Stegostoma tigrinum: one gene and its partners. The protein of the gene in region 2 interacts with the protein of the main gene of each other region in a pairwise test. Links are inferred from orthologs where the notes say so. Each region holds a gene or a part of one and is shown on either strand. Other genes may lie near its edges.

Region 1 (7,817 bases), on a different chromosome or scaffold from region 2:
GCAGAGATGGCGAAAGATTGCAGTTAAGAACAGAATTACCTGCTCTTGTTTAGAGACATTGTAGGAGGGTGGCCTGCTCCCTAATTTGTATCTGCAGCCCTTTGTATCCCTCCAAAATTACTCCCTGACTTGCTTATTCATACTAAAGTCATTAATCCGCAAATAATGCAAAATTCAGATGTTAGTATTTCATTGAGCTATTCAGGGTTTCCACCCAGTGAGATCAGCTGGACGCTGCAAGTTTGACAGGACAACCTGAAATGGATTTTTAATGGAGCCAGACTGATGAAGAGACCCCACAACAGCGTAACTCGACAACACAGCATGGATTCTCAATGGAATGGAGCTGACGAGTGACAAGGCTGCAATGCAAAATGCAGGCATAGACATATGCAATTAACATGCAGCACAGCAGGAGCCAAAGTAATGATTGTTATCAGTGATGGGTTGGGGCTAATTTACCACTGCAGTAAACGTTGGCATCTCTGACTTGCAGCTACATCTGTTCTTTAATTACCACTGGTTCAGAATCCTGGAACTCCTTTGTCCATCATGTTGTGGAGCATCTAAACTGCATGGATTGCAGTGGTTTCAGAAAGTGGCTCAGCACCACCTTCTCAAGGGCAATCGTGGGCCACATAACAATTTTTATCATTTATACCTTCATGTTAAACTTGAGTTTTGCTCTAAAATGGCATATTTTATCGAAGCTTTTCATCTTGCACTCATCAGGACAAATCACAAGAATACAGATTTAAAGGGAAGCCAACATTATACTGTATGAGCAGAGAGCGCTGATTGGTTGGCAGAGGTGTTGCCAGAGATAAATGTAGCAGTTGATAATGGGCAAAAACAGAAGTTGCTAGAAAAACTCAGCAGGCTGAGGACCATCTGTGGAGAAAAAAAACCGAATCAGAGAATAAATTTCAGAGATAGTAGGAACTGCAGATGCTGGAGAATCTGAGATAACAAGGTATAGAGATGGATTAACACAGCAGGTCAAGCAACATCAGATGAGCAAGAAACCTGACGTTTTGGGCCTAGGCCCTTCTTTGGAATAAGGTCTAGGCCTGAAACATCAGCCTTGCTGCTCCTCTGATGCTGCTTGGCCTGCTGTGTTCATCCAGCTCTACACCTTGTTATCTCAGAATCAGAGAATAACTCTGATTTTTCTTCACAGATGCTGCCAGGCCAGCAGACCCTTTCAAACAACTTCTGTTTTTGTTCCTGATTTACAGCGTCTGCATTTCATTTGTTTTTCTTAAACCAGTTAATAATGATTGACAGTTAACTGCCAGGCTTTGTTTACATTTTAAAGGAGGCAGGTTGACTCTGCCTGGTCATGGCATTTTCCTAAGAAATGAACCAGCGAATGGCCGTCACCTACTTTCTTGAGTTTAATACAGACCCGCACAGCACCTGTTACCTACAAAGTGACCAGGGTAAAACACCTGTTACTATAGGAAGTGATTGAAGCTGACAGTATTGACACATTAGAGGGGAAGCTGGATAAACATGAGGGAGAACTCAGAGGGAGGCTACACTGACAGAAAGAAATAAAGCAATGTTGGGGAAACTCATGTGGAACAAAAACACCAGCCTGGGCCAGTTGTGTGAAAAGATCCATTTCTGTGCTATAGTCACAATGCAAGCTGAGGCGACAGTGACCATGGGATCTTTTACACAATATGAGAGGGAAGTTGAGGGACCTTTAACGTCACATCTAAAAGACAGCCATAAGAGGGAGAAACATTCATTCAGCAAGTCCACACTGAGGAAGATAAGTGAGTGGAAGAAAAAAAACCAACAGCAGTCCTCCCATGGGTTTTTCTCAACACTTTGTTGAAAAGAAAACATAGCTGCCTCTGTGACAGTTTCAGTGTTGTCACTACATTCTCACACATACAAAATACTGCTACCAGCACTACAGCATCTGACCTTCGAGTATACTTGGGAATCATGGTGTAGATTCTCACAGAGACTCCCTCTCCCACAGCAACACAGACTTCCCTTCCCCCAGGGGATAGACCCCCCCACCCTCAACACACCCCTTCCATGCAGATACCCGTCGCCTCCCTTGGGGGTGGGGGGTGCAAAGTCTTCACACATCCCCACCCAGGGAAGCAGACTCTTCCCCGCCCCCCCACACAATGGTCAGACTCTCCCTCTCAGACTTCCCCACCCCCGCCCCCACAGGGGACACACAATTCCCCTCTTCCCCCAGGGGACAGACTGTCCCTTGTACACCTCCCCACCCAGGGGGACAGACTCTCCCCTCTCCCCCAGGGGGACAGACTTTACCCCTCTCCCCCAGGGCGACAGACTCTCCCTCATGTCCTTCCCCAACCAGGGGGACAGACTTTTACCCCTCTCCCCCAGGGCAACAGACTCTCCCTCATATGCTTCCCCACTCAGGGGGACAGACTCTCTCCTCTCTCCCCCAGGGGACAGACTCTCCCTCATACACATCCCCACCCGAGGGGAACAGACTCTTCCCCCCCCCCCCACCAGCGGTCAGACTCTCCCTCTCAGATTTCCCCACCCCGCAGAGGGGCAGACTTTCCCCTCGCCCCCAGGGGGACAGGCTCTTCCCCTCTCCCCCAGGGGGAACAGACTCTCCCCTCTCCCCCAGGGAAGACGGACTCTCCCTCGTACACTTCCCCACCCAGGGGGACAGACTCTCCCCTCGCAAGCATCCAGCCACCAAAGTTTGGGGGGGGGGTGGGGAGGAGGGGGTGAATCGGACAGCCCCTCCGGAGGAGAACGTGTGCCCTCTTCCGGGGACCAGCGGATGCCCCTTTACCTGTGGATGCCCTCCTGTTCTTGCGGGACATGCTGAGGCTGACCTGCTGCCGGATTCGGAAGTTCTTGTCATCCTGGCGGGACAAGCGGAGCTTCTCATCGGAGGGGACAGCGAGGCTGGAGTCCAGGACAGAGAGGATCTCCTGGCTCAGCACCGTGCGGAAGAAAGGGTCCCGGCTGCTCACCATTGCAGGTTCCAGCTGCTACTCCTGCCTGTAACTGAGGTGTGTCTGTGCGACTGCCAGAACCACCCCCGAGCGATTGCAAAACCTCCTCCTGCTGCACACTTCCTGGTCGCAAGTTCCCAAAAGCCCGGTTCTCCCGAGCTCTCCAACTCTGATCCTGCTGTGTTCCCTGCAGAGCCTTTCATTGCAATACTCACTGTCTGAAGGAGCACTGAAACCAGATTGATTCACCATTTTCAGAACAGGAGTGGGTAAAGTAACCGATGGGCAGTTGCAAGGGAAACTGGTTGAGCACCATTTTCAAAAGGCCAACATGCGCCCGATGGACCGAATGGACTTCTTCTGGCTACCATTCTATGCATTGAGTGAGCTTGCATTGCCCACGATTATAATCGATTGGAGTTAAAGGCTCTTCTTGCATCAGGCGGACCGCAAATAGCTCAAGAAAGTGGCATTGAATCATAGGGGGCAAGGGATGGGATGGAAGGTCTAGACTTGCCGCAGACACAGGCAGTGAAAGATTTCAAACGTTTTTCCAGCTCCTTGCTTTGCAAAGCTGGCCCACGTATCTACACGCTTTGCGTGGCCTTTCTGTAGTAAACTGAATGGGCATTATACACAGAGGGACTCCCAGTAGCTGTTATGTATGAAAATAAACAGGCCTTATGGACCTGCATTTGTTATAAGTTTGCAACTGCACTGTGGAATTTAGGAATGTCAACATGAACTTACGGTGATTCTTGATTATTTAGGGGATTAAGGGTTACAGAGAGAAGGCATGATAATGGGGTTGAGAGACATGTTAGCCATGATGGGCACAGCAGACCCGATGGACCGAAAGGCCTAATTCTGCTCCTGTATCTTACATCCTTCTAATAGCTGATTCTTTCGAAAACAAACCTCTTATTGTGCTCTACTGACAAGACTAGCGAATGATTGTCATCCAAGTGCTGCAATCTGTCCAATAAATGGGATTTATAGCCTGACAAATGCTTTGGATGACAGGTTAATAGGTTAAATTAGCAACAGTCAGCATTTACGATAACAAAGTGTGGAGCTGGATGAACACAGCAGGCCAAGCAGCATCCCAGGAGCACAAAAGCTAACGTTTTGGGCCTAGACCCTTCATCAGAGAGGGGGATGGGGAGAGGGAACTGGAATAAATAGGGAGAGGGGGAGGCGGACTGAAGATGGAGAGAAAACAAGATAGGTAGAGAGGCGAGTATAGGTGGGGAGGTAGGGAGGGGATAGGTCAGTCCAGGGAGATGGACAGGTCAAGCAGGCAGGATGAGGTGGTAAGTAGGAAATGGAGGTGTGGCTTGAGGTGGGAGGAAGGGATGGGTGAGAGGAAGAACAGGTTAGGGAAGCAGAGACAGGGTGGGCTGGTTTTGGGATGCAGTGGGGGGAGGGGAAGAACTGGGCTGGTTTTGTGATGCAATGGGGGGAGCGGATGAACTGGGCTGGTTTAGGGATGCGGTGGGGGAAGGGGAGATTTTGAAGCTTGTGAAGTCCACATTGATACCATTGGGCTGCAGGCTTCCCAAGCGGAATATGAGTTGCTGTTCCTGCAACCTTCGGGTGGCATCATTGTGGCACTGCAGGAGGCCCATGATGGACATGTCATCTGAGGAATGGGAGGGGGAGTTGAAATGGTTCGCGACTGGGAGGTGCAGTTGTTTGTTGCGAACCGAGTGGAGGTGTTCTGCAAAGCAGTCCCCAAGCCTCCGCTTGGTTTTCCCAATGTAGAGGAAGCCACACCGGGTGCAATGGATACAATATACCACATTGGCAGATGTGCAGGTGAACTTCTGCTTAATATGGAAGGTCATCTTGGGGCCTGGGATTGGGGTGAGGGAGGAGGTGTGGGGGCAAGTGTAGCACTTCCTGCGGTTGCAGGGGAAGGTGCCGGGTGTGGTAGGGTTGGAGGGGAGTGTGGAGCGGACAAGGGAGTCGTGGAGAGAGTGGTCTCTCCGGAAGGCAAACAAAGGTGAGGATGGAAAAATGTCTTGGGTGGTGGGGTCGGATTGTAGATGGCGGAAGTGTCGGAGGATGATGCATTGTATCCGGAGGTTGGTGGGGTGGTATGTGAGAACGAGGGGGATCCTCTGGGGGCGGGGGCGGGGGTGTGAGGGACGTGTTGCGGGAAATGCGGGAGACGCGGTCAAGGGCGTTCTCGACCACTGCCGGGGGGAAAGTTGCGGTCCTGGAAGAACGTGGACATCTGGGATGTGAGGGAGTGGAATGCCTCATGTGGGGCTGGATGAAGACAGCAGACCAAGCAGCATCTTAGGAGCACAAAAACTGACGTTTCGGGCCTCGACCCTTCATCAGCATCCGTTCATTTGCAAACATGACGGGAAAATAAGTTTAAACTTGGAAGTATTTTCAATAATTACTTGGAATAAAGCATGCTGTTTATTTTGGGCTGAGGAATCCTTTGTCTGTCAGCTGTGTCATCCCATGGGCACTCTTTCCCCAAAGATAACACAGTGTAGAGCCGGTTGAGCACAGCAGGCAAAGCAGCATCAGAGGAGCAGGAAAGCTGACATTTCGGGCCTGGACCCTTCTTCAGAAATGGGCAGAAAAGCCCGCTTGTCATCTCAGATTCTCCAACGTCTGCAGTTCCTACTATCTCTTTCCCCCAAAGATGCTTATTTTCCAGAGGGTCTTTGCAACGGCTGACCTGCCAACACCCCCTCACTATTGCCACATAGTGACTGATTTTTTTTTGCACTATTCCTCAAGTGCCTCTGAGCATGCCTTCCCACATATTTGCCAGCTGCCGTTGGAAGTTCTGTCACAGAAGCTCCTTAAAACCCACCTTCATCGACCAAGCTTTTGCTCACTTACTCTCCTGTATCCTCATGTGGCTCAGTGTCAGACTTTATGTGAAAATTTCATCTACGAATCACCCTGGGATGTTTAACTGAACCATAGGTGCCGTATAATTGCTCATTGTTGTTACATTCAAAGATCGGTTGGAGACCTAGTGATGTGATAAATTTAACTAAAAGCACATTCGCTCCTGAGTGAGGAGCGCTACAGTATTCCTGTCGGTATCATGCCGCAGGTAAACTGTGTAAAGCTACCTTCACTTTTATAAAAATGGTAACTATGTGCACCATTTAGTGTGCTAAAAGATGCCCCATAGAAACCCCGGGTCATTCTGGACATGTGACCATTATCTTTGTTGAGGGATATGATTTAAAGCAGGACAGAGCGAGAAAGAGAGGTGGTTGAGAGAAAAATTCCATAGTTTAAGACCTTGGCAGCCGAAGACCTGGCCAGAAATGGATGGGTGAGAAAAGTTGAGGATGTGCAAGAGACAAGAATTAGAGGAATACCTTGGTGAATTATAGAGCTGGAGAAAATTCTAGAGGAAGGGAGGGATTGAACATAAGGGTGAGACAATTAAGTTAGAAACACCAGGGAGCCAATGTAGGTCAAAATGAAAGCTGTTATGGATCTGCTATGGAGAGTAGGAGGAGAGGATATTGGACGCGTGTTCAGCAGAAGTTCTATTCTGCAACATAACAAATGTTGGGTGAATATCTGTTAGAATAGAATGAGAATTTAGACAAAGCAATGGACGGTGGAGATCTGAGATAGAACCAGAAAGTACTGGGCAACTTCAGCAAGTCTGTGGAGAGAAAAATAGGATTAGTGTTTAGAGTCCAAGGGGGAGTCCTGTTCCAAGGACAATTCTCTAGACTCAAAGTGTGAAGCTGGATGAACACAGCAGGCCAAGCAGCATCTCAGGAGCACAAAAGCTGACGTTTCGGGCCTAGATGATGAAGGGTCTAGGCCCGAAATGTCAGCTTTTGTGCTCCTGAGATGCTGCTTGGCCTGCTGTATTCATCCAGCTTCACACTTTATTATCTTGGATTCTCCAGCATCTGCAGTTCCCATTATCTCTAGACTCAAAACTCTGTTTCGCTCTCCATAGATGCTGCCAGACCTGCTGAGTTTCTCCAGCACTTTCTGTGAGAATTTAGTACAGTGTTTTTCACTTTAAAAAGTAAGGGATGGAAGTCTGCTTTTTGTTCATTTTAAGTCAACTCATCTGGGCATTTTATGATTCACCTGTAGGAAAGTGGGTGTTGAACTCAGATGTTCTGGGACAGAGATAGGGTTGCTGTCACTATACACCACAGGATTCTTATAGGATAAATGCTTCCCTAGAACCCTTGGAGGCTTCCTGGCCAATGCAGCGACTGAACTTGCAACCCTAGTATTATTAACACACACTCTTAACCACCTGAGCTAACCAGCGTCAGAAGTCCCTTAACAGATAAATGCTTACTTAGAAACACGATAGACTGCCTGGTCAAGGAGCTGTTGTTGCACAATGGTACTGTCTCTACCAATGGGCCAGAAGGTCTGGATTCATGAACCACCAGCTCCAGAGATGTGTTATAATGTGACTGAATAAATTGATTAAAAATATCTAGGCTCTCTGGTCAATGTAGTGAATGAGCCGCAACCTCAGCAGTTCCCACTCTATTAACCTGAGCCCCCCGATTACCACAATATATTGAAGCCTATCTGTCTGTATAGGTTATGAAACACCTCCAGGGTAGATGGCTTTTGGATCTCCTGGTCCGGAAGTGGGGAGATTACAGTATCACCGAAGCCTGCTTTGTAAATATAAAAATCTGTTTGGACTTGTTATGACATCCCTCTGTAGCCATCATGGATTTAAATCTGAACCCCCTGCCCTTCGAGTTAAGGACACTACCACTGAGGTGCAAGGCTCTGTTTCCGTTTGTCCAAATGATGCCTTTCTTCAATGCAACTAAATTCACCTTATTCTTAGAAACCTGTTCAATA
Region 2 (7,900 bases):
CTGCTTGGCCTGCTGTGTTCATCCAGCTCCACACCTTGTTATCTAGGCAAAGTGAGTATTTCTTTTTCAGTTTGAGCATATTGGCTCTATTTTTTTGAAATGTGAAGCCCCTCAAGGAGAAATTGCATTAATTAGGCACTTACACAGTACAGTTTAAAGACATTTGTAATTATAAAATCATAGTTCCACTTGCAGGATACAAACCCTGGCCACAAGCAATTTGGACCATATTGTGGATTATTATATCATAGTCATTTCTATGAAAGAGAAATAATCACACATGACCTGCAGACCACAAAGCACAAAGACAGTCTATGGTCTCAAAGGCACAGAGCTGATTTCTTCTCACTTTGAAGCAAGTGTTTGCCAACAACAACTTACATGCAATGCTGCCTTCCTTAGGTGATGTGGGGTTGGTTCCTGTTGCATACATCAGAATAAGGTCCACTATGTCAAAGGTCTACGTCAAGGCATTTCATGGTCCTCATTGTCAGAATCCACCACATCCCACTGTAAGGAGAACTGTACTAAATTGTCATTATATGTGATGCAAATGCTGACTGCTCACACAGTTCTGTTCTGTTTCTGATATTCCCCAAAGAGGTTCATGGAACCAAGACCAATGGATCCAACCACAGCAGCACAACCAGTACTGCAATTGTAATGCAACAAAGGTGCAGAAAATCAAGGAGAAAAAAATGTGCCAGTAAGCAATCTCCAGCTCCAGTCAAATATTCTCTTTTTGAAGAAGTCACCACTGAAGTTCCCCTCAAGATGCAGAGAAAGGAGGATGTTTTGTGTCTATTGTCCTCAATGTTATTTTCTCTAAATGAGCAGAGTGCACTGCCACCTCTACCTGTGGGCATGCCAGAACACTGTTCTAGGGCACTGAACTGTACCATCTGCTGAAGCAGAACTTGCAACCTGAAGGGATGGATGACCATCGTATCCCAGTGGCCAACAAGGGAACATTAAACATTTATGCACCTAGCAGCTTCCAAGAATCGACAATATGATATCTCTCAATTTCTCAACCCCAAATGTATCAAGGTTGTTACTGATGCAATTTCTTCCAGATCACACATTTCATCTCATTTCCCGTGACAAGATCAATGCTGTAGCCCAGGTGGTAGGCATCGCCAATGTAGCTGGCTTTCGTCAGGTGCATGGCACTATAAACTGTAAACATATTATGCTGAGAGCATCATTATCATAACATGACTGACTTCATCAACAAAAAAGTGTTCTGCTGTACCACTTCTTTGAATTCTGTACTAGGTACCCTGGGAGCTGTCATGATGCCTCTATCTTTGAGAACTTCATGTTTTCACTTCATTTTAAGGGCTGGATACCTTCCAAGGCTGCTACTGAGAGACAAAGGCTAACCCCTACAACCACGGCTAGTGACTCCATTCTGCATCTCCCTGGCTGAGGTCAAATATTGATACAGTGCAACCTATTCTTCCACCAGGGCCATTATGGAGCAGATGACAGGCTACCCAAAAATGAAGCTCCATTGTTTGGATTGGTATAGGGGGCCTTGCAGTTCGTTCCAGACAGACCATGCATATAATCCAAGCATATGCTCTGCACAACGGGAGAAGATGAAAGAGGGGATGTGAGGGGATGTTGAAGAGTTTGGAGTGGGGAATCAGTCTACTGAGGAGGAGGAGATGAGGACATTGAGCAGGTGAAATATCATCTTCAGTGTGATAAAGCAAAGTGGCGTTGGGTACGATAAGTTAGACAAGCCTTAATTGACACCTGCCTTCCAAGAGATGTGAGCTGAGCGATCACTCATTGACTGAAAATTTGCTGTTGCTCAAACTAAGTCACACCCTGTTTGTTCCCAGGAATAAATGCACCTTTTTTCTTTGTTTACTTTTCGTGTTATTCAATAAACATGAATGACTTAAACAGTTTGAAGGCTTTCCAACATGTGAAGCTCCCACATTGAACCATAGAAAAATGCTCTGCTACATTGGGTATTAAGGATAGAGTAGCACTCTGATTCTAGCGTGGCATAGTGCTAAGAATGAGGTAACCTGTGTAGCTTGATTCTTGTAATTGTAGTTACGATCACATCTGATCAGACAGTTAATGATGTAAAATAGTAAAAGTGTTTGCTTCCACTCACAATGAAGTGTTACCATGGCACCTATGTGCCCTCAGAATATTTTCTTTCTCATTTCCTTTCCAATTACAGTGCAGTGAAGGGGTATTTGTGGCTGGCAGTGATTGTCCCGGTAAACAGCTCGTCTCTAAATAGGGCACCGCAGACGGAAATCTTGGCAGTGGAGAGTATTTCCGCCAATGGTGAGCAAGAGTAATGAAAACACAGCACCACAGCATCACGCAGCATCCATACTGAAGTGGGCAGTAGAAAATTGCATGAGATAACTTGCTACAGCTCACGAAGGGAAGCCCTTCATGAAAGTCCTCAAAATTGATCCTTAACTGATTTTTAGTAAAATTGAGCCTGTTGTTTTGAAGTGAGCACTCCCTTTCTGTAATGCAGCTAAACAACCACAAGAGGACAGCACTAACCTTGAAGAAAAATACATTAATCTACTCAGGAAAAAAACACAGGAAACGTGTTAAAATTATAATATGAAACCTGCGTAAAATAAACGATAAAACTGAAAACAATCAATTTAATTCACACCCGATTACACCCTACTCTTTAGCCTTTCTTATCTTGGCTTTTGACTCATTGCGGTTCTCACAGCTTTTGCATTCCATAAACTACAACTTATCCACAACACTGCAGTCCCCATCCTTTCTCACATTTCTATCACCATTATTCCTGTTAATATCCACTGTCTTCTTGCGCAATAAGCTAATAGGATTGTGTTTTATATCCAAATCCCTCTCACGCCACTCGCTCCTGCCCTAAGCTAAAATTTACCTTTCACTGGACTATGATCCACTGAATGAAGCCTGGCTGTTTCTCTCATTGCCATCCCTTGACTGGGATCCTGTCGTGCCTCTACGTCTTCTTAGCCCAGTGTTAAAGCTGAGAACTCTTTTTGTACAGCACAGTGGAAAGCCTTTTGACCCATTATGCCTGAGTCAGCTCTTTGAAAGAATCGTCATTTATTCCTACTCCCTTACTCCTATTGCTCTGTATTTCTTTTTCATTTCATTTATAGAGTTTATACATCCAATTCCCCCTTTTACAGTTACGATTAAAGCAATTGGCAATCATGCGTAAATCAATGGAATCATCCTTCCCTTTCATTTGATTGGACTATGAAGAAGGGAGGTAGCAGATATTTCATCCTGATTTCACTATATGCCATTACATTAAAAAGGTTGGAAACTTGTGGAGCTGAACCTTTGACGATGACATGTCTAAGTTCACTGAACCCTCTCTTAGAAACACTTCGGGGATGCCGCCCACTTTGAATCTGCACTTAGTGAGATACCAAGCAAGTGAACAGAAACAGTCAGATTCTGTCTCACTTGTGCAGCGATGTTGGCATTTCAGCATTCCTCAGTGTCCGGCATAGTTATAGTTAAGTTGGCATGACTTCCGTTCATGAAAGAACTAAATATGTACAGTTGCTTTGCAAAGATTGAGCTGAATTCAGTGATTCCACACTCAAAGTGCAGTTGTCTCAGTTAAAGGGAGTAGGAGTCAAGTCATCAGTGCTGCACTGTATTATGCTTCCATGAAGCAACACCCCTCACTAGCGGTTTCGGTTAAAGTGAACTTACCTTGGAAAATGTATTTAAAACTGTACGTGGCTGCTTCAATGCTGAATAACCAGCAGGGGGAGATGTGTGCAAACAAGATTATTTCTGGATGATCAGTTACAAGACGTTCTTGGCAATGAGTCACAGAACTACCCTCGAGGAAAATGTGTATAGCTAAATTTGAAGCATACAAAAATAATCATTTGGACTGAATGCATTTTGCAAAGCTTTCTCTTTCTCCTAAATCTTCTCCTATTTCTCTCCTCCTCCACAGGAGTTGCATCCCCCAAATATCTCTTATCGGGTAAATAAAATTGAAAGAATTGCAGATGATGTAAATCAGGAACAAAAACAGAAGTTGCTGGAAAAGCTCAGCAGGTCTGGCAGCATCTGTGTAGAAAAAAAATCAGAGTTAAAATTCTGGGTCTGGTGACTGTTCCTCAGAACCGATGAAAATGTTGGTTTATGTGCAGAAGATAGGGAGGGGGGAGGGTGTAGGGAGTAAACAGGATAAAGGGTAGAGCCCAGTAGAGAGCAGAGTAGTTGGATAGACAAAACCGTTGATAACAATCTTGCGAAGAGGGTCAACAGCTGTTAACGGAGACTGTTAGTGCCTAACAATAGATAGTGTGTAATGGCTAGCTATGTGATAACAAGGCCTCAAAATGTGAGGCTGGATGAACACAGCAGGCCAAGCAGCATCTCAGGAGCACAAAAGCTGACGTTTCGGGCCTAGACCCTTCATCATGATGAAGACCCTCTCTGATGAAGGGTCTAGGCCCGAAACGTCAGCTTTTGTGCTCCTGAGATGCTGCTTGGCCTGCTGTGTTCATCCAGCGTCACATTTTATTATCACAGAATGGTTACAAGTGACTATACTTTTATCACTGTTTCAAAACATATTCCACTCTAAATCTTGCTGCAGAGCAGAAAAAAAAGGCAGAAATTTTATAAACTTTGGAGACATGCTTTGAGCATTAAGTGAATGTTACAGAAAAACAACACATATTTAAAATGAGGGAATAATGTACAAACAGATCATTGATTAATATGTACCATCATTAACTCAGCTTGCAGAAACCTATGAATAGTTGCAAAATAAAGATGATCCCCTTAAACAGGATTGTATTAGTCATAAGAGATGCAGAAGTGAAAACACACCAACTGAGACAAGAGAAACTTACATTCCAGAGAGAATTGACAAGTGCAGACGTGCTGAGGCTGTGAATTTGTAGCTTGAGGATATTAATGGCAAAACAAACTAGGTTTCCAGCATTGCACTGATAGATACTCTAGGTAGACAGGACAGAACAATTACAGAAAAATTGCAGTTTGAAAGTACCAGAGAGGACATAATGCAAAGAAGAAGAGGCATGGCCATTGTGGAGAAAGCTGTGTTTTCACTGCAAGAAGCCGAATCATTGTAAACACATGTATGGCTAAAAAGAAGCAAGTGCAGAAGGCCATTGGAGATATGTCAGCTGAAGGTTCTGATGAATCACTCTACATCAGTCAGTAGGTTGATTTAGTCAAGTTATTGAGTGATACATGCTTTGTGACTATGGGAATGAAGACTGCACAAGGAAAACATCAAGTCAACATGAAGTATCAGATAGATATTGGTGCATCATGACCTCATTGACCTGTAGGAAGTGGTTAAATGCGGTGATCCAAAAATTAAGGAAACCCTCAAAATAAGGTTAAGGCTATATCATGGCACCATCATCTTGCCAAGAGGACAGGTTACTTTGTGAATGGTTGCAACAAAATGATCGAGGATCTTGAGTTCCGGATCATAGATAGATAGCATATGACACTTATTTCAACAAGGCAAATTTAAAGCTTGGAGTGATAAGCCTCAATGTACCAAAGACATTTGTCACACGTCACAGTACACTAAACCATTGATGTAGAAGAAATGGCAGAGGAGTACATTGATGTATTTGCAAGGCAAGGCTGTCTTCCAGGAGAATATCACCTTGAAGCAGATGAGAACGGAAAACCAATTCCCGCAAAGCCAGGCTGAAACACAAGAGGGAGGAGCCCGGAAAAAGGGAGTAATCAAGAATCTGACAGCTCCTACAGTGTGGATTGCTGCATTTTGGCAGTGAAACAACCTGGAAAATTGAGAGTATGAATCAACCCAAAGGATTGAAATAGAGCCCTGAAGTGATATCACAACCCATGCTACAGTCAAAGGGATTTTGCCACAACATGCAAATGTGAAAATCTTCATCACCCAAGAAGCAAAGGTTCATGACTGGCAAGTGAAGCTCAATGAAAGGAGCAGTTTTCTAACCGCGTTCGTGATGCCCTTTGAGAGTTACAGTTGGCTACACATACCCTTTACTAAATACCATTACCAAAAGGATATTAAACATAGAACATAGATCAGTACAGCACAGGAATGGGACCTTTGGCTCACGATGTTGTACCAAACATGACGCCAAATTAAACTAATCCCTTCTGCCTGCCATTGATCCATATCCCTCCATTTCCTGCATATTCATGTGCTTATCGGAAAGTCTCTTAACTGTCCCTATCCTTTCTACTTCCACCACTACCCCAGCAGTGTGTTCCATGCTCCTACCACTCTGTGTAAAAAACTTGCCCCTCTCATCTCCTTTAAACTTTTCCCCTCTCACCTTAAACGCATTCCTCAATTTTAAACATTTCAACACTGGGAGAATGGTTCTGACTGTCATTCCTCAGCATCTGCCACTCCAGAGAAAACAACCCAAGTTTTTCTTGCCTCACCTTATAGTTCATTCCCTCCAATCTAGGCAGCATCCTGTAAACCTCTTTTGCACCCTGTCCAAAGCCTCCACACCCTTCCTATAATGTGGCAACCAGAATTGAATGCAGTGTGGCCTAGTGTGGCCTAACCAAAATCTTATAAAGCTGCAACATGAGATCCTGACTTTTGTACTCAATTCTCTGACCAATAAAGGCAAGTATACAATATGCCTTCTTTACCACGCTATCTACTTGCATTACCACTTTCAGGGAGCTATGGACTTGAACCCCAAGATCCCTCTGTACATCAATACTGTTCAGACTTCTGCCATTAACTGTATACTTTGCCTTAACATTTGATCTCCGAAAGTGCAGCACCTCACACTTACCTGGATAAAACTCCATCTACCATTTCTGCACCCATATCTGCAACTGATCTATATCCTGCTGTATCCTTTGACAATCTTCCACACTATCTACAACTCCATGGTCTTTGTAATATCTACAAACTTACTAACCCATTCATCTGCATTTTCACCTAAGTCATTTATGTATATCACAAATAGCAGAGGTTCCAGTACAGATCCCTGCATAACACATGGCCAAGTCATGTTGGATCCCATGCATTTTAATTTTGTGGATGAGCCTACCATGAGGGACCTTTTCAAAAGCCTTCCTAAAGTCCATGTAGACAAAATCCACTGTTCTACCCTCATTGACTACCTTCGTCACCTCCTCGAAAAAATTGATCAAGCAGGGTGCCCCACGCAAAGCCATGCTGATTGTCCCTAATTAGGACATGTTTTTCCAAATGTGTGTGAATCCTGTCCCTAAGAATTCTCTCCAATAGCTTCCCATCCACCAATGTGAGACTCACTGGTCTATAGTTTCCTGGATTGTCCCTATTTCCTTTCTTGAATAGAGGAACAACATTGTCTACTTGCCAGTTTTCTAGGACCTCTCCTGTGGTGAAGGAGGATACAAATATCTTGGTCAAGACATCAGCAATCTCCTGTCTTGCTTCTCTCAAAACCTGAAGTTGATATCTCTGGGCCTGGGGACTTATCCACCTTAATGCCCTTCAAGAGACCCAATGCTGCTTCTTGATCTCAAAATGCCCTGGCATATTAGCACGCTCTACACAAATCTCACAATCCTCCACATTCCTTCTCCTGGGTGAATACTAACGCAATGAATTTATTTAGGATTTCGCTCACACCCTCTGCCTCCAAGCACAAGTTCCCTCCTTTATTCTTGAGTGGCCCTACCTTCTCTCTAGTTATCTTCTTGTTTTTAATGCCTTGGAACTCTCTTTAATCCTACTTGCCAAGGTGATTTCATGCCCCTTTTTGTTCTCCTAATTCCCTGCTTAAGTTCTTTCCTGCTTTCTTTATATTCCTCATGGGTCCTGTCTGATCTATATGCTTCTTTTTTTCCTTTAGACTAAATTCACAACCTCCCTCAG
Region 3 (6,947 bases), on a different chromosome or scaffold from region 2:
CTGCAGGAGACCCAGGATGGACATGTCATCTGAGGAATGAGAGGGGGGAATTAAAATGATTCGCGATTGGGAGGTGCAGTTGTTTATTGCGAACCGAGCATAGGTGTTCTGCAAAGCAGTCCCCAAGTCTCCGCGTGGTTTCCCCAATATAGAGGAAGCCAAGCCGAATTCAGCAGATGCAGTATACCACACTGGCAGATGTGCAGGTGAACATCTGCTTGATGTGGAAAGTCATCTTGGGGCCTGGGGGAGAGTGGGAGGTGGTGTGGGACCAAGTGTAACATTTCCTGCGATTGCAGGGGAAAGTGCCGGGTGTGGTGGGATTGGAGGTGAGTGCGGAGCGGACAAGGGAGTCGCAGAGAGAGTGGTCTCTCCGGAAGGCAGACAAGGGTGGGGATGGAAAAAATGTCTTTAGTGGTGGGTTCGGATTGTAGATGGCGGAAGTCTTGGAGGATGATGTGTTGTATCCGGAGGTTGGTGGGGTGGTATGTGAGGACTAGGGGGATTCTCTTTTGGCGGTTATTGCGGGGGCAGGGTGTGAGGGATGAGTTGCAGGAAATGCGGGAGACACAGTCAAGGGCGTTCTCGACCACCGCGGTGTGGGGAGTTGCGGTCCTTGAAGAACGAGGTCATCACTTACTTGGCAATCCAACTTTTGGCTTTAGGAGGACATCTAGCGTGGCCTTGTCGAAGATCTCTTTGCTGACTTTTACTTCTGCTGGTCCATACACTGCAGCCAGGACTGTCGTGTCCCCTTAAGTTTACAAAGAAAGCATCCAAAAGGTTGTAAACATAGGTTGGCATTGCTTAGTGGGAGCATTGCAACAAAGGGTTAATGTGACTTTATAGACACAGTTGCTCCTTCACAAGTAAGAAAATTAGCAGAATTTTTAATTAGAAAAAAGCTAGTTCCACATCACTGAGGCATTTACAAGATTTAAAATGGACTGATGTTTAAATAGCTGAACACCTTTCATGACCAAATGGCACCATAAAGCACTTTAGTTACTTTTGATGTGCAGCAACTGTTATGACCTATTGACCAGGGAGACTTTGAGGGAGTTTGACATGGGTGGATGCCAAGAGGATCTTTCTATTCCTGGGAGAACGGAGAACAAAGATCTCTCATTTAAGATGGAGATGAGGATGAATTTCTTTTTCAGAATTCTCTCCCCAGAGAGCAGTCACAGCTGGGTCACTGAATACATTGAAGTTGGAGTTAGGCAGATGTTTGTTTGACAATGGACTCAAAGCTTAAGGGAGATGAGCAGGAAAAATGGAGGTTATGCCCACCAGATTAGTCATGGCCTTATTGACTGGCAGAGCAGGGGTTCATGAACTGAATGGCTTGCTCCTGCTCCTAAATTTTATGTTAAAACATGGACAGTGATAAATTGTGCAAAGCTCCCACAAACAGCAATGTAATAACAAATAGATTGTCCAATTGACATAAATTGTGCACAAGATAGTAGGCAAAATGTTCTTCAATCATAGGTTCTGCTTTAGTTGTGTTGGCATCTCAGTCTAATCTATTTCACCAACATTTCTATGGGTAGTGTTATTGAAATCAAGGATGACCTTCCAAGTTGGCCACCCTGATTATGAAAATTTATCAATGAGAATAATCAAAAGTTGGGTCTTGAAGATTTCAAGTGATGGCAATCCCACCTAATTTGCACACATTTGTTAACAAAGTATAGAGCTAGATGAACACAGCAGGCCAAGCAGCATCTTTGGAGCACAAAAACTGATGTTTCAGGCCTAGACCCTTAGAAACCTGATGAAGGGTCTAGGCCTGAAACGTCAACTTTTGTGCTCCTAAGATGCCACTTGGCCTGCTGTGTTCATCCATCTCTACACTTTGTTATCCCAGATTCTCCAGCATTTGCAGTTCCTACTATCTCTTGCGCATCTTTGTACTGGGGGAGGAAATGGGGCACCCCAAGAAAACTGACACAGACACAGGGAGAATGTGCAAACTCCACACAGACAGTTGCTGGAAGCTGGAATCGAACTTGTATCCCTGGCGCTTTGAAGCGACATGCTAACCACTGAGCCACTGTGCTACACTCAACATGAGATGGTTGGGCCAAATGGACTATGTTCACATTGCCTGCAAGTCACGATGGGCCAAAACTGTAATGATTCTATGATTACATGAGATTAATAAAGGGCAATGGGCACAGCCAAACAGTGATATTGGCTGTGGATAATACAGTGCTGTGGGGAAAGAGAGTCACACAGTAAATATTACCAGTGTATGGAACTGATGCAGAGATATTGAGAGTGTGTGAAACTGTGAGGCTATTTTGAAATTGACACAGGGCCGTGGCGAATGGATAAGAGATGCAAGGAGCAGTGGAGTTAGTTGCGGATCTATACAGAACTTTAGGAGAAATAAATATTCCTATCTAAAAGAAAATATACTGACATTGAACCAGTCCTCAGAAGATCACACAATTGACTCTGGTGTATCAGGGTCGGGGGAGGGGGTTGGTGTGTGAAGATTATCTGACGAGGAGAGGTTGAGTAGGATGGGCTTGAACTCAATGGAGTTTAGCAGAATGAGAAGATAACTTGCTGAAACATCAGAAACGTGGGAGAATGAGAATTGAGTAATTTGAGTGGGAATGCAAGTCTGAGAGTCGGTCAGAAGAGAGACGAATGAATTATAATTTTTCCTTGTTGCTCTAAATGAGCTCCCCATCTGTAATCTCCAGAATCCCAACCCCACACCACCCTCCTCATACCTGCCTTCCCACAGTGAGTGTCCCACATTACAATAAGACTTGGGTAAGCGGGGGGGGGGACAGAGTAGGGTCTGAAAGAGTCTTCCCAAGGTAAAGGGCTAGCACCTACCTTGTGTGAAGCAGGCCGAGCCATCGGGCCTGGACAAGAGACTGTGTTCACTGCCGAAAGGCCGCAGTTGCTGCTGACTCTCAGCACCTACCTCCATCCCAAGCAGCACCGACTGTCAGGCCCCCTCCATTGTTAACTGACGGTGATCTCCACCAATCAGAAACCAGTACATCACAATATTAACCAGTCAAAATCAAGATTGGGTGGGACCTCTAGGCCATGCTCCGCTGGGGGCAGCAGCCCCTCACCAAGGACCCCCATTCTACGGACAACTTACTGTACGCCTTTACACAATAACAGCAAATAAAGCACGTTCCTTTTCAAATTAACCTGCGTGGCTTTTACTGCTGTTCGGTCTCATTGAAGGGGGCCCCGCGCTTGTTGTTGCTCTTCCTCAGAAGGCGGTGATAATGTAGTACAGGCGGCGGCTGGACAGACAGTAAACATGGCGGCGGCTGTCAGGCAGTTGGGAGTAAGATGGAGCGGCTTGTGGAACAGCCGCGTCTCCCGGGCTCAGATCGCCCTCTCCGCGTCTCGGCGTGCCCTATCTACCGGGGTGAGTAATTCCCAGAGCCTGACCAAAGGGTAAAATCACTCTGGGCCGAGGTTCCGGACCACCTCCAGCCGATTGGTCAGGAGAGGGGGTGGGATCCTGGGTCTGGCTAGTCAATGGGTTTTACAACCTAAACATGCAATCGGAGTTTTACTGTGATTCATAACGTAATAGCAGAACTTAACTAGATTTACTGATTGCTTCATTTTAACTGAATAACTGGACGTAAGATTACGAGGCTCACTGATTGCTTCAAAACTTTAAGCTATAAATAATAACTTTCCTGTCTTTCTGCTTCACAATTAATAAATCATAACGGAGACTTTAATCGTCACAATGTCTAAATCATAACTATTGATTCTTTAATGACTTAGAATTCCTAACGTTTTACTGCTGTCTACCTTATTGTGTCATAACCTTACTAGGTGTGCTGCTTGCTTCGTGACTTATCATAAATACTTTTTCATACTTTTTCATTATTCATAACTTACGAATCCGCAACTACTTTCTAAAACAAATTGTTTGTTAATAATCTGGGATGTGAATCCCCCAAATCCTATCATACTGGTTGGGCAATTTTGAATTCAGTTTATTTTCTATATTTATTTATAGTTGTAATGTTATTAATTATAGATGTAATGTAATGGAGAGTGTTACAGGTGAGTGCAGCAATTGTTCAGCCTCCCTCTGCCCTTGACAAGGTATTGGTGAGCTGTCTTATTAAACTGCAGTGTGTGTTGTGTTTGTACATCTGCCGCACTGGTCACTAAGGAAATCCAGAATTTTGCTATAGGTACAGTGAGATATTTTCAAGTCAAGATGGTTTGTGAGTTGAATGGAAACTTGAAGGTGGTCATCTTCCATGCACTGTCAGTTGTTATTCCTCCAAAACTGGAAAAAGTCTGCATTTAAATGTACAAGTTCAGAAATTGCTATCAATGATTCTCTGCTTCTCCATCGGGTACGCTGTTGATTTTCCCAGTTTTGGTACAATTAGAAATCAATTAGTTAGTTTTGCTCTATATAATCCTCAATACAGGTTACATTAAAATGGCAGATGAAAGTGAAAGCAGGTAAGTGTAAAGTGATTCATTTTGAGGAGAATGCAGTGTGGCAATATAAAATGAAGGTTACAGTTTTAAAGGGGAGAATCGGGCTGTGGGGTGGCAGGGGAGTTGCAAAATATATGGGATCTTAGATTTCATAAATGCAGCATAGAGTACAAAGACATGGAAGTTATGAGAGCTGTATAAGTTACTAGTTTGGAGTTTTTCATCCAATTCTCAGCGCCACACTTAAGGCATTTACAGGAATGAGGAAATATAAATTACATTGGAGAAATTGTGTAACATGGACAAGTATGAAGTTGATCACTTTGGCAGAAAAAAATCAGAATCACAGAGTATTGTTTGAAGGGTCATAGATTGGGAACTGGGTGTCTGAAGGGTCTGGGCATCTGTTTTACACTTAAAAAAATGCCCCGAAAGAACAGCAGATGCTGTAAATCAGGAACAAAAACAGAAGATGCTGGAAAAACTCAGCAAGTCTGGCAACATCTGTGAAGAAAAAAATCTGACAGACCTGCTGAGCTTTTCCAGCAACTCCTGTTTTCGATCCTTTTTACACTGTTTTACTGAGCAGTTAGGAAGGAAAATAGTAAGTTAACGTTCATTGCAGGAGTAAGGAAGCCATACTATAACTATACGGGGTTTTGGTTTGACTACATGTGGAATAATGTGCTGTTTTGGTCTCTCTTTACTGAAAAAAATTTGCTGTTGTGGGGAGTACAGTGAAGGTGCACTAATCTGTTTTCTGAAGAAGGACCTAGGCCTGAAGTAAAGATAATAAAATGTGAGGCTGGATGAACACAGCAGGCCAAGCAGCATCTCAGGAGCACAAAAGCTGACGTTTCGGGCCTAGACCCTTCATCAGAGAGGGGGATGGGGGGAGGGAACTGGAATAAATAGGGAGAGAGGGGGAGGCGGACCGAAGATGGAGAGTAAAGAAGATAGGTGGAGAGGGTGTAGGTGGGGAGGTAAGGAGGGGATAGGTCAGTCCAGGGAAGACGGACAGGTCAAGGAGGTGGGATGAGGTTAGTAGGTAGCTGGGGGTGCGGCTTGGGGTGGGAGGAAGGGATGGGTGAGAGGAAGAACCGGTTAGGGAGGCAGAGACAGGTTGGACTGGTTTTGGGATGCAGTGGGTGGGGGGGAAGAGCTGGGCTGGTTGTGTGGTGCAGTGGGGGGAGGGGATGAACTGGGCTGGTTGAGGGATGCAGTGGGGGAAGGGGAGATTTTGAAACTGGTGAAGTCCACATTGATACCATATGGCTGCAGGGTTCCCAGGCGGAATATGAGTTGCTGTTCCTGCAACCTTCGGGTGGCATCATTGTGGCAGTGCAGGAGGCCCATGATGGACATGTCATCAAGAGAATGGGAGGGGGAGTGGAAATGGTTTGCGACTGGGAGGTGCAGTTGTTTGTTGCGAACTGAGCGGAGGTGTTCTGCAAAGCGGTCCCCAAGCCTCCGCTTGGTTTCCCCAATGTAGAGAAAGCCGCACCGGGTACAGTGGATGCAGTATACCACATTGGCAGATGTGCAGGTGAACCTCTGCTTAATGTGGAATGTCATCTTGGGGCCTGGGATGGGGGTGAGGGAGGAGGTGTGGGGACAAGTGTAGCATTTCCTGCGGTTGCAGGGGAAGGTGCCGGGTGTGGTGGGGTTGGAGGGCAGTGTGGAGCGAACAAGGGAGTCACGGAGAGAGTGGTCTCTCCGGAAAGCAGACAGGGGTGGGGATGGAAAAATGTCTTGGGTGGTGGGGTCGGATTGTAAATGGCGGAAGTGTCGGAGGATAATGCGTTGTATCCGGAGGTTGGTAGGGTGGTGTGTGAGAACGAGGGGGACCCTCTTGGGGCGGTTGTGGCGGGGGCGGGGTGTGAGGGATGTGTCGCGGGAAATGCGGGAGACGCGGTCAAGGGCGTTCTCAATCACCGTGGGGGGGAAGTTGCGGTCCTTAAAGAACTTGGACATCTGGGATGTGCGGGAGTGGAATGTCTTATCGTGGGAGCAGATGCGGCGGAGGCGGAGGAATTGGGAATAGGGGATGGAATTTTTGCAGGAGGGTGGGTGGGAGAAGGTGTATTCTAGGTAGCTGTGGGAGTCGGTGGGCTTGTAATGGACATCAGGTACAAGCTGATTGCCTGAGATGGAGACTGAGAGGTCCAGGAAGGTGAGGGATGTGCTGGAGATGGCCCAGGTGAACTGAAGGTTGGGGTGGAAGGTGTTGGTGAAGTGGATGAACTGTTCGAGCTCCTCTGGGGAGCAAGAGGCGGCGCCGATACAGTCATCAATGTACCGGAGGAAGAGGTGGGGTTTGGGGCCTGTGTAGGTGCGGAAGATGGACTGTTCCACGTAACCTACAAAGAGGCAGGCATAGCTGGGGCCCATGCGGGTGCCCATGGCCACCCCCTTAGTCTGTAGGAAGTGGGAGGAGTCAAAAGAGAAGTTGTTGAGTGTGAGGACGAGTTCCGCTAGGCGGA
Region 4 (7,606 bases), on a different chromosome or scaffold from region 2:
GGGGAACTTGGAGTGACAGTCTCGGTTGCAGCGACTGCATTTGAAGACACTCCCCTCCAGTGTTGCCATGTTGCTTTTTTTCCATCAAGCGCGCTTTTCCTCGGTGGCAAGCCTCAGTTTCTCCTCTCCTCGCTCCAGCCCTCTGCTTAGTTCCCGTCTCTAGTGTGAACAATCTTTTGTGACGTCTTCCCATCTTTCATGTGAGTACATGTGACAATAAAACGAATGCTAAGGACTTTAAATAAATGCAAATTATTAATGGTCTGACTCCTCAAGCCAAGGAAATTCACCTTTCTTAATGCTTTGTGCTCACAATACAAGGCTGGTTGGAAAGATAAACTGTGGGGAGGACTAAAAAAGACAGAGTTTAAGTGAGTGGGTAACAAGATGGTAAATTAATTTTATTGTTGGGAAGTGTGAACTTATTCAGTTTCACCATAAGAGCAGAAAACTGGAACATGCTTTAAAAAGTTTGAAAGGTGTCAGCATTGATGTTCAGAGAAACTTGGATGTGTACATTCGAGAAACACAGAAAGCTAGCATGCAAGCAATTAGGAAGGAAGTTTGCATGTTGGCCTTTATTATAAGGGGATGGAATGCCGCGATAATGATGTCTTGTCACAATTGGATAGCGCTTTGGTGAAACATGTATCTAGAATACTGAGTACAGTTTTGAATTCCGAAGCTGAAAAAAGATCAACTTGCATTAGACGTGGCACAGCAAAATTGATCCCTGGAATGAAAGAGTTGTCCTATGATGAGAAGCTGAAAATATTGGATCCATTTTACTCAGAGTTTAGAAGAATGAGAGGCGATTCCAGTGAACCATGCAAGATCCTGAGGGAATGACAGGGTGGAGGCTGAGAGATCATTTCTGCAGGTTGGGAATCTAGAACACAGAGGGCACAGTCCTAAGACATGGTGTCAATTGTTTAGGACTGAGAAAGGAGGAAATGTTTCCACTGGAAGCGTTATGAATCTTGGTATTCTCTCAATCAGTGGAATCTCCACTGCTGAATACATTTAAGATTGGAATAGACAGCTCAGGCAAGCAAAGAATAATTGGGAATGGGTGGGAAAGTGGAGTTGAAGTCAAAGATCAGACATGACCATATTGAATGGCAGCCCCTACATCTACTCCTGCTCCTATTTCTTCTGTTCTTATGTTCTCATTGTTTCTTACTCTGTTTCATACTCTCTGGCTTGTATTGTTTAAGACTCAATTAACCTGGAGGATTGGCAATGGCTGTTCTCTCTGCAGTTGCCTCATGAATGGGTAAATTCAGAACATGATCATGAAAATTAGTGATGAGATTGAATTACAATGATGAAAGTACCACATCCTGGTGAAAAGTGGATTATCTGCATCTTGTCCAGTATAGTCATATGTTTGTTGGCTGTGTTCAACTGAATTTGTGATTTCCTCTCCCAGTAGGTGAGGTTTCTGGCAGACAACACCAAATCAGCTGCTGGGATATTAAAAGGAGGTGATAGCCTCACCTATTTCCTGGAACGTCAGGGGGGAAAACCAAAATCTCCCTACTCTAGAAGTCATGATTATATTTTAAGCGGTTGACGTGATCAATTGTGGTTCCATTCCTCTAAGTTAGAACATCAGGCAGCTGTTCATTTCCAACAGTGCCACCAACTGTAGTGGCCGTACCTGGGACTGCAGCAGTTCCTGGAGCAGTGACTCTATGGATCTAGGCCTTAGATATAGCTAAGTCGGTATAGTACTCAATAGAGCCAATCAGATCAGCCTGGTGAGGAGGTTGGAGTTTATTTCAAGAGTGGGGAGAGGTTGCCTTCTTATAGGTGTCAGATTTCACTGAGCAATCTCTCGAGATGGCAAAGCACACTCTTGTACCAGTGCCAGTGGGAAGAGGGCCTTTGTGCTCATTAATTGGTGATGGGATCCAGATGACATTTTGGGTAAGCAGGTTCAAATCCCTAGATGGCTAATGGCAGAATTTGAATTTAATAAAAATCTGAAATTAAGAACCTAACAATGACTGTGAATCCATTGGTGATTGTTGGAAAAATCCATCTGATTCGCTAATGTCTTTAGGGAAGGAAACTGCCATCATTACCAGGCCTCGCCTACATGTGACTCCAGACCCACAGCCAATTTGGTTGACTCTTAACTGCCCTCTGGGCAATTAGGGTTGAGCAATAAATGCTGGCTTGGCCAGTGACACCCTTATCCCATAAATTAATTTGAAAAGGGCCTCAATTGCCATTGGACTAGGCAGGCCACCTGCCTCTGGTAAAATACCAGTGGTTAGGATACAATGGATATAGCTCCCTCTGCCAAATCATGTGATTATTTTGCCACTATCTGTGTACCCCGAAGCCTTGTACCAGGATGTGCGGGATACCAGGGTTGACCCTTTAGATACAACCTGTGCAATTTTTTGGCAGGCCTCTTAAAGTCCTAAGGGAGGTGAAATATTTGGAACTGTCAGATAAGGAATATCTCATTAACTGTCTTAGCAACGGATCAAACACAAAATGCAAAAAACCAGTTCAGAAGGAATGACATGTGAAAGCAAGAAGTGAATCATTTCAAATGCTTGATGGACGAAGAAAAATAAAATATAAAACATACCAGGTTTTGAGTAGAGTCATAAATAGCAACATGGATTTTAACATAATGAAACGTCCCAAGCCACTTAAAACCTCCTTTCTACTGAGAATTGTTAGGCCATGGACTTCATTTCCCATGTTTGTGGCCATGATGGAAACTGGGAAAGTGATCTGCACAAAGAGCATGAACTGGACCCGGAATAATCCTCGTAGAGTTTTACTCTACTCTTGATTTTCACATCCACTGAAGCTACTTCAGTTATGATCTCAATCTGCTAAACTGGATCACTTCAACATGACCCCCATATGTCAATGTTCAAGATTTTGATTGGGAGGGGGGTGAAGGAAAAAGGGGTTGAAATGACCTGGAACAATGTGGGTGATTAATATTAGAACACAGAGAATATGGAATGTGTGGTTGGGCCAAATGACCTTCTTCCAAGGTATCACTGATGTCAGAATATAAGAACTAGGAGCAGGAGTAGACCATTCAGCCCCTCGAGCCTAATCTGCCATTTGATACAACCATGGCTGATCTCATCTCAGCCTCAATTCCATTTTCCTGTTCGCTGTCCATAACCTTTAACTTGTTATTAATTAAAAAATATGTTTATCTCCTTAAATTTACTGCTGTCCCAGAATCCAATACACTCTGGGACAGTGAATTCCACAGATTCACAGGTCCTTTACAGAAGTAATTTCTCCTCAACTCTGTTTTAAATCCACTACCTCTTATCCTAAAACTATGACCTCTCATTCTGGATTGCCCAACATGGGGAAGTATTCTTTCTACTTCTACTTTGACCCCTTTACTACCTTATAAACAATCAATTCAATCTCCTCTTTTTCTGCTAAATTCCAGAGACAATAGGCCTAAACAGCTCAATCTCACTTCAAAAGACAAACTTGTCATCACTGGAATCAATCTAGTGAATCTCCTCTGAACTGTCTCGAATACAGCTACATCCCTCCTCAAGTAAGGGGGCCAAACTTTTACATGATGCAGTCTTACTCATGCCTTGTACAGTTCAGGCAAACTTCCTTTAGCAGTAAGTTCCAAATTTGAGTGTATTTCTGTGCATATTCTACCAGAACCTTTCTAAAGGACATCTTGGCCTGTAGGAACATTAATATTATTTTTCTTGCACATAATATTTAGGTTGTACCTTGTTCTTGTCTAATTTTGAGTTGTATACGTGATAAGAATATTGTGTCAATTGTAGTTTAAATTACAAAATATAGCACACCAATGTGCAATAATTGTTTATTTTTAAAAAATAATTACATCTCCAAGGAACAATACATCACAAATTGTGCCTTGAGTGAGCAAATGAACGTCGTTTTGCTTGCTGAATAACTTGTGTGCTTTTTTTCCACTAAAAATACATGCTTGGCTTTAGTGTTCCTCTCTGCATGTGGCAGGCTGACTGAATCACACCTCTGTGTCAGATCTGTTTGCTTTGGGCTGTCTTTCGATGCTGTAATTCACAGCAGGCATACCACTACATAGAGTTTATTCAGAAGCATCTACCCAGAAGTGCTCTGGCATGCTGCATGAAAGGCGTTATTTACTTGCGTCAAGCAAGTCCAATTGATGGGAATATTTTGAAATCCCAGATGAAAGATGCCGATTAAGAGGCAGGAGTGCAGGTGAGCTTTTTACATGCCTCCTCCAACATGGGCAGTGACTGTAGCACAGGAGAGCACGTCTGCAATTATGCTGAGAAATTTGACAAACATCTTCCCAACCTGACAGCACAGAGTTAAAGCTTTTCAACTGTGGTACACGTTAGTGAGAGTCCCAGGCAAAGACCGTGGTCTCCCATTAACTTGTGTTGTGGAAACAGGACCACAATTCAGCTCAGGAACTGTAAAATAACAGAGCTCTTTCATATCCAGCTGTGAGGGTGGTAATTGGAACAGCCAAATCTAAATCATACACGACCTCTGACTAGGGGGATAAAAACTCTCCATTTCTGTTCAGGCGTGACACTAGCTTCTGCAACCATCACACTCAGCTGGAGTGTGGCCAGTGAAAAGCAAACTGAAACCCACAGATCTGCCAAAATGAGGGCCAAACAGAAGCAGGAAAGGAATTACACTGCTGATGGTCGATGAGATTACCCAAGTGATGGTAAAGAGAGGAGCTGGTTAAGATTGAGTCCTGTGAGGGTAAGTCAATTCTTAATGTTCTTGTACAAAATTTACTCGGAGCTCCCTGCTGTGGAAACTGAGTGAGCAGAATTGGTTTGTTGTAACTGTATTAGACAGCTCACACATCCCATTAATGCTTAAATGGCTTAAAGGTGGTGAGAACGGCAGATCTATGGTTGAGAGGAGCATTAGGATTGAACTGGGACTAAGGTGCAAAGTAACGGCTGACTGTATAGGAGACTGAGCCAGGAGTTAAGGCAAGTACAAACACTTAGCTGATTCTCTCCATTCTTCATCCAAGAATATTTTAAAAGTGCCTTTCCTCTGAAAATGTAACATTACCACTCTCTCTTCAATTGCTGAATTTCACCATTTGGTTATTTCTCCTCTTCTTCTGTCTGTTTCTGCTGAGCTGTTATTTCGAGGATACAAGGACATATTCAGATGAATGTATTAACATCACTAGGGAGGAAGGGCATTCCTGATTCCCTGGCAATATGCATTCTTAAAACAGTAGCACTAGGAATAGAGCAACCACACTTTCTTCTGTTACTCTTCATGGAATTTTGCGGCAAACATATTAGATGCTCGATTTTGCATACTTTATAGTAATTGCCCTTTAAAAGTACTTCATTGAATGTGGAGAACTGTGAATGCCCTGAGTTTATGAGTGGAGAAATCTGAATGCAGCTATTTCTTTTCTGTTTATCTTTATGGATCCGCACTACCCACATTTTGTTTGGAGTGGGCAGGGAGCCTGTATCAAGAGACATTAATCTCATGCTGGTATGGGACAGACTAAATGAATCAGCTGGTCCTTTCATGCCTCACAGCTTTTCCTATGTTTGTGGTTTCTCTACTGGTTATTGAGGGACTTACAATCTCTTCAGTTTGAGAAATCCTTGTGTATATTCAAACATGAGTAGACCATTCAGTCTAGACCAATGTGAACTTAACTTTACCATCCCATTTTTTTCTCCATATCCCTCAACACCCTTGCTTAAATAAAATCTATCAATCTCAGTTTTGCGATTTTCAATTGACCCCTATTCTCAACAGATTATGGGGAAGAAAATTTCAGGTTTCCAGACTTCCACAACCTTTTGCAGGTAAAAAGTGCCAACTGGCATCATTGCAAAGCTTTGCTCACATTCTAAGGTTCCTTCTTCTTTGACTGGTGTCCAGCATTCGAGGAAGTATGTCCTCTCTCTCTTTCTAGTTGACCAAATCCTTAATAAAATTAATTTTAAGCCAAATTTCAAGTTTCCATCTTAAAATGTCCAACTGATGCTAGTTGAAAACTGTTCAGCATTGATTTTAAATTTTTAATGACAGTATTACAGTAACATGGACAGGAAAGTTCTTACCCTGTCATTGTTTTTATCTTACATGACTTTTTAAATTGATAATTAACATGTGCTTACTCAGTCACATCTGGTTATCATGCCTGTTATTCAAGCCTTTGTCATCTGATAGAAATACAGATGCACAAACATTAACATGTCATTCAAGAGACCATCTGGTACAATGTAAATGTAGGAGCAGATCCTGACTGTGCGATTGTGTAAAGCAGATGATAGTGAATCAACATCCTGGGTTACATGAAGCCAATGAATGTCAATTACCACTCAGAGCCAAGGTTCATTCATAGAGTCTGTAAATTGTGGAAGCAGGCCATTTGGCCTACTGAGCCCACACCAACCCTTTGAAGAGCATCCCACCAGGACCCATCCCCCTTCCCTATCCCTGTAACTTTGTATTTTCTGTGGCTAATCCACTTAGCCTGTACATCCCTAGGAACTATGGGCAATTGACCTAACCACATCTTTGGACTGGGGGAGGAAACTGAAGCTCTGAAACCCATGCAGATGGTGGAGAATGTGCAAACTCCACATGGACAGTCGCCCAAGACTGGAATTGAACCGGGGTTCCTACTGCTGTGAGGCAGCTGTGCTGACCATTGAGCCACCATGCTGCTCCAACTAAAGTCTAAAAGTATTAGAGTTTTTTTCATTCGCTGAGAGTGGACATTATATGCAAAGCTGAAATTATTACCCATCTGTAGGCACCTTGAGAGGCAGCTTGATATGACTGAGTGCTAGGTCATTCAAAGTGCAGCTAAAAATGAACAATATTAGAATCAAACTGATGACCCATATAGGACACACTAGATAAAGATCGCTAGTTTCCTTTCTGAAGGACGTTAATAAACCAGATTCAACAGCTTCGTTGACACTTTTACCGATACCAGCATTCAGTTCCCAGAATTTTAAAACTGAATTCATATTCCCAAATTGGCAAGTTGGGATTAAACTCATACTGTGCAATTTATTTTTCCAGGCCTGAGGATTTCAGGTCTAGGAACACCAACATATCCATAGTTAATCTACATGTGATCTATTATTTTCAGAACAAGTATTATTTACACTTGGCAAAAACAAATTTCAAATTTGGCTACTTATCATGTCAACATAGGAAAATCATTCACTGATCTAGAGAAATTAGACCAACTGTGGAACTGAGAGACCTATGATTCATAACTGTGCTTATAGCAGGAACTGACCCTATTCTCTCCATATTCTGTTAACTTTGCCTGTTTATTTTTCATGCATTCATATGGAGCTTTCAATATAGAAGACTGTGCCAAGGTGCTCCATAGAGTGTGGAGCAAAAACAAATTCTGAGCCAAAGAAAGCAATATTCAGAGAGGTGACCAGGAAAGGATCTTAAAGGAGAAGACAGAATTGGAAAGATGGGGGAAGGGCACAGACAGAGTGCTAGAGCATGGAGCGCAGAGATCTGAAACATGAGGAGAGGGATCGCTGCACAAGAGGAGAGTCAGAGGCATGGGAGGCCTGAGCGGGTG

Evidence for each region.
Region 1: the proteins of doublesex- and mab-3-related transcription factor 1Y-like (region 2) and plakophilin-2-like interact in a two-hybrid assay, tested with the Homo sapiens proteins (2 studies listed by BioGRID). The link is inferred for Stegostoma tigrinum from reciprocal best matches to the Homo sapiens genes DMRTB1 and PKP2.
Region 3: the proteins of doublesex- and mab-3-related transcription factor 1Y-like (region 2) and exosc5 interact in a two-hybrid assay, tested with the Homo sapiens proteins (2 studies listed by BioGRID). The link is inferred for Stegostoma tigrinum from reciprocal best matches to the Homo sapiens genes DMRTB1 and EXOSC5.
Region 4: the proteins of doublesex- and mab-3-related transcription factor 1Y-like (region 2) and il16 interact in a two-hybrid assay, tested with the Homo sapiens proteins (2 studies listed by BioGRID). The two-hybrid records come from large-scale screens. The link is inferred for Stegostoma tigrinum from reciprocal best matches to the Homo sapiens genes DMRTB1 and IL16.

The regions. Positions count from the first base shown.
Region 1 is NC_081371.1:46,427,619-46,435,435, forward strand, and holds the start of plakophilin-2-like, read right to left. Parts: upstream 3,022-7,817; 5' UTR 2,991-3,021; coding exon 2,804-2,990; intron 1-2,803. UniProt on the Homo sapiens protein: A component of desmosome cell-cell junctions which are required for positive regulation of cellular adhesion.
Region 2 is NC_081361.1:42,266,100-42,273,999, forward strand, and holds the start of doublesex- and mab-3-related transcription factor 1Y-like, read right to left. Parts: upstream 3,021-7,900; 5' UTR 2,909-3,020; intron 1-2,908.
Region 3 is NC_081392.1:8,365,729-8,372,675, reverse strand, and holds the start of exosc5 (exosome complex component RRP46), read right to left. Parts: upstream 3,003-6,947; 5' UTR 2,957-3,002; coding exon 2,860-2,956; intron 755-2,859; coding exon 641-754; intron 1-640. Other genes in the region: bckdha (2-oxoisovalerate dehydrogenase subunit alpha, mitochondrial), read left to right, coding at 3,305-3,415. UniProt on the Homo sapiens protein: Non-catalytic component of the RNA exosome complex which has 3'->5' exoribonuclease activity and participates in a multitude of cellular RNA processing and degradation events.
Region 4 is NC_081386.1:4,862,453-4,870,058, forward strand, and holds the start of il16 (pro-interleukin-16), read left to right. Parts: upstream 1-4,598; 5' UTR 4,599-4,758; intron 4,759-7,606. UniProt on the Homo sapiens protein: Interleukin-16 stimulates a migratory response in CD4+ lymphocytes, monocytes, and eosinophils. Primes CD4+ T-cells for IL-2 and IL-15 responsiveness. Also induces T-lymphocyte expression of interleukin 2 receptor. Ligand for CD4.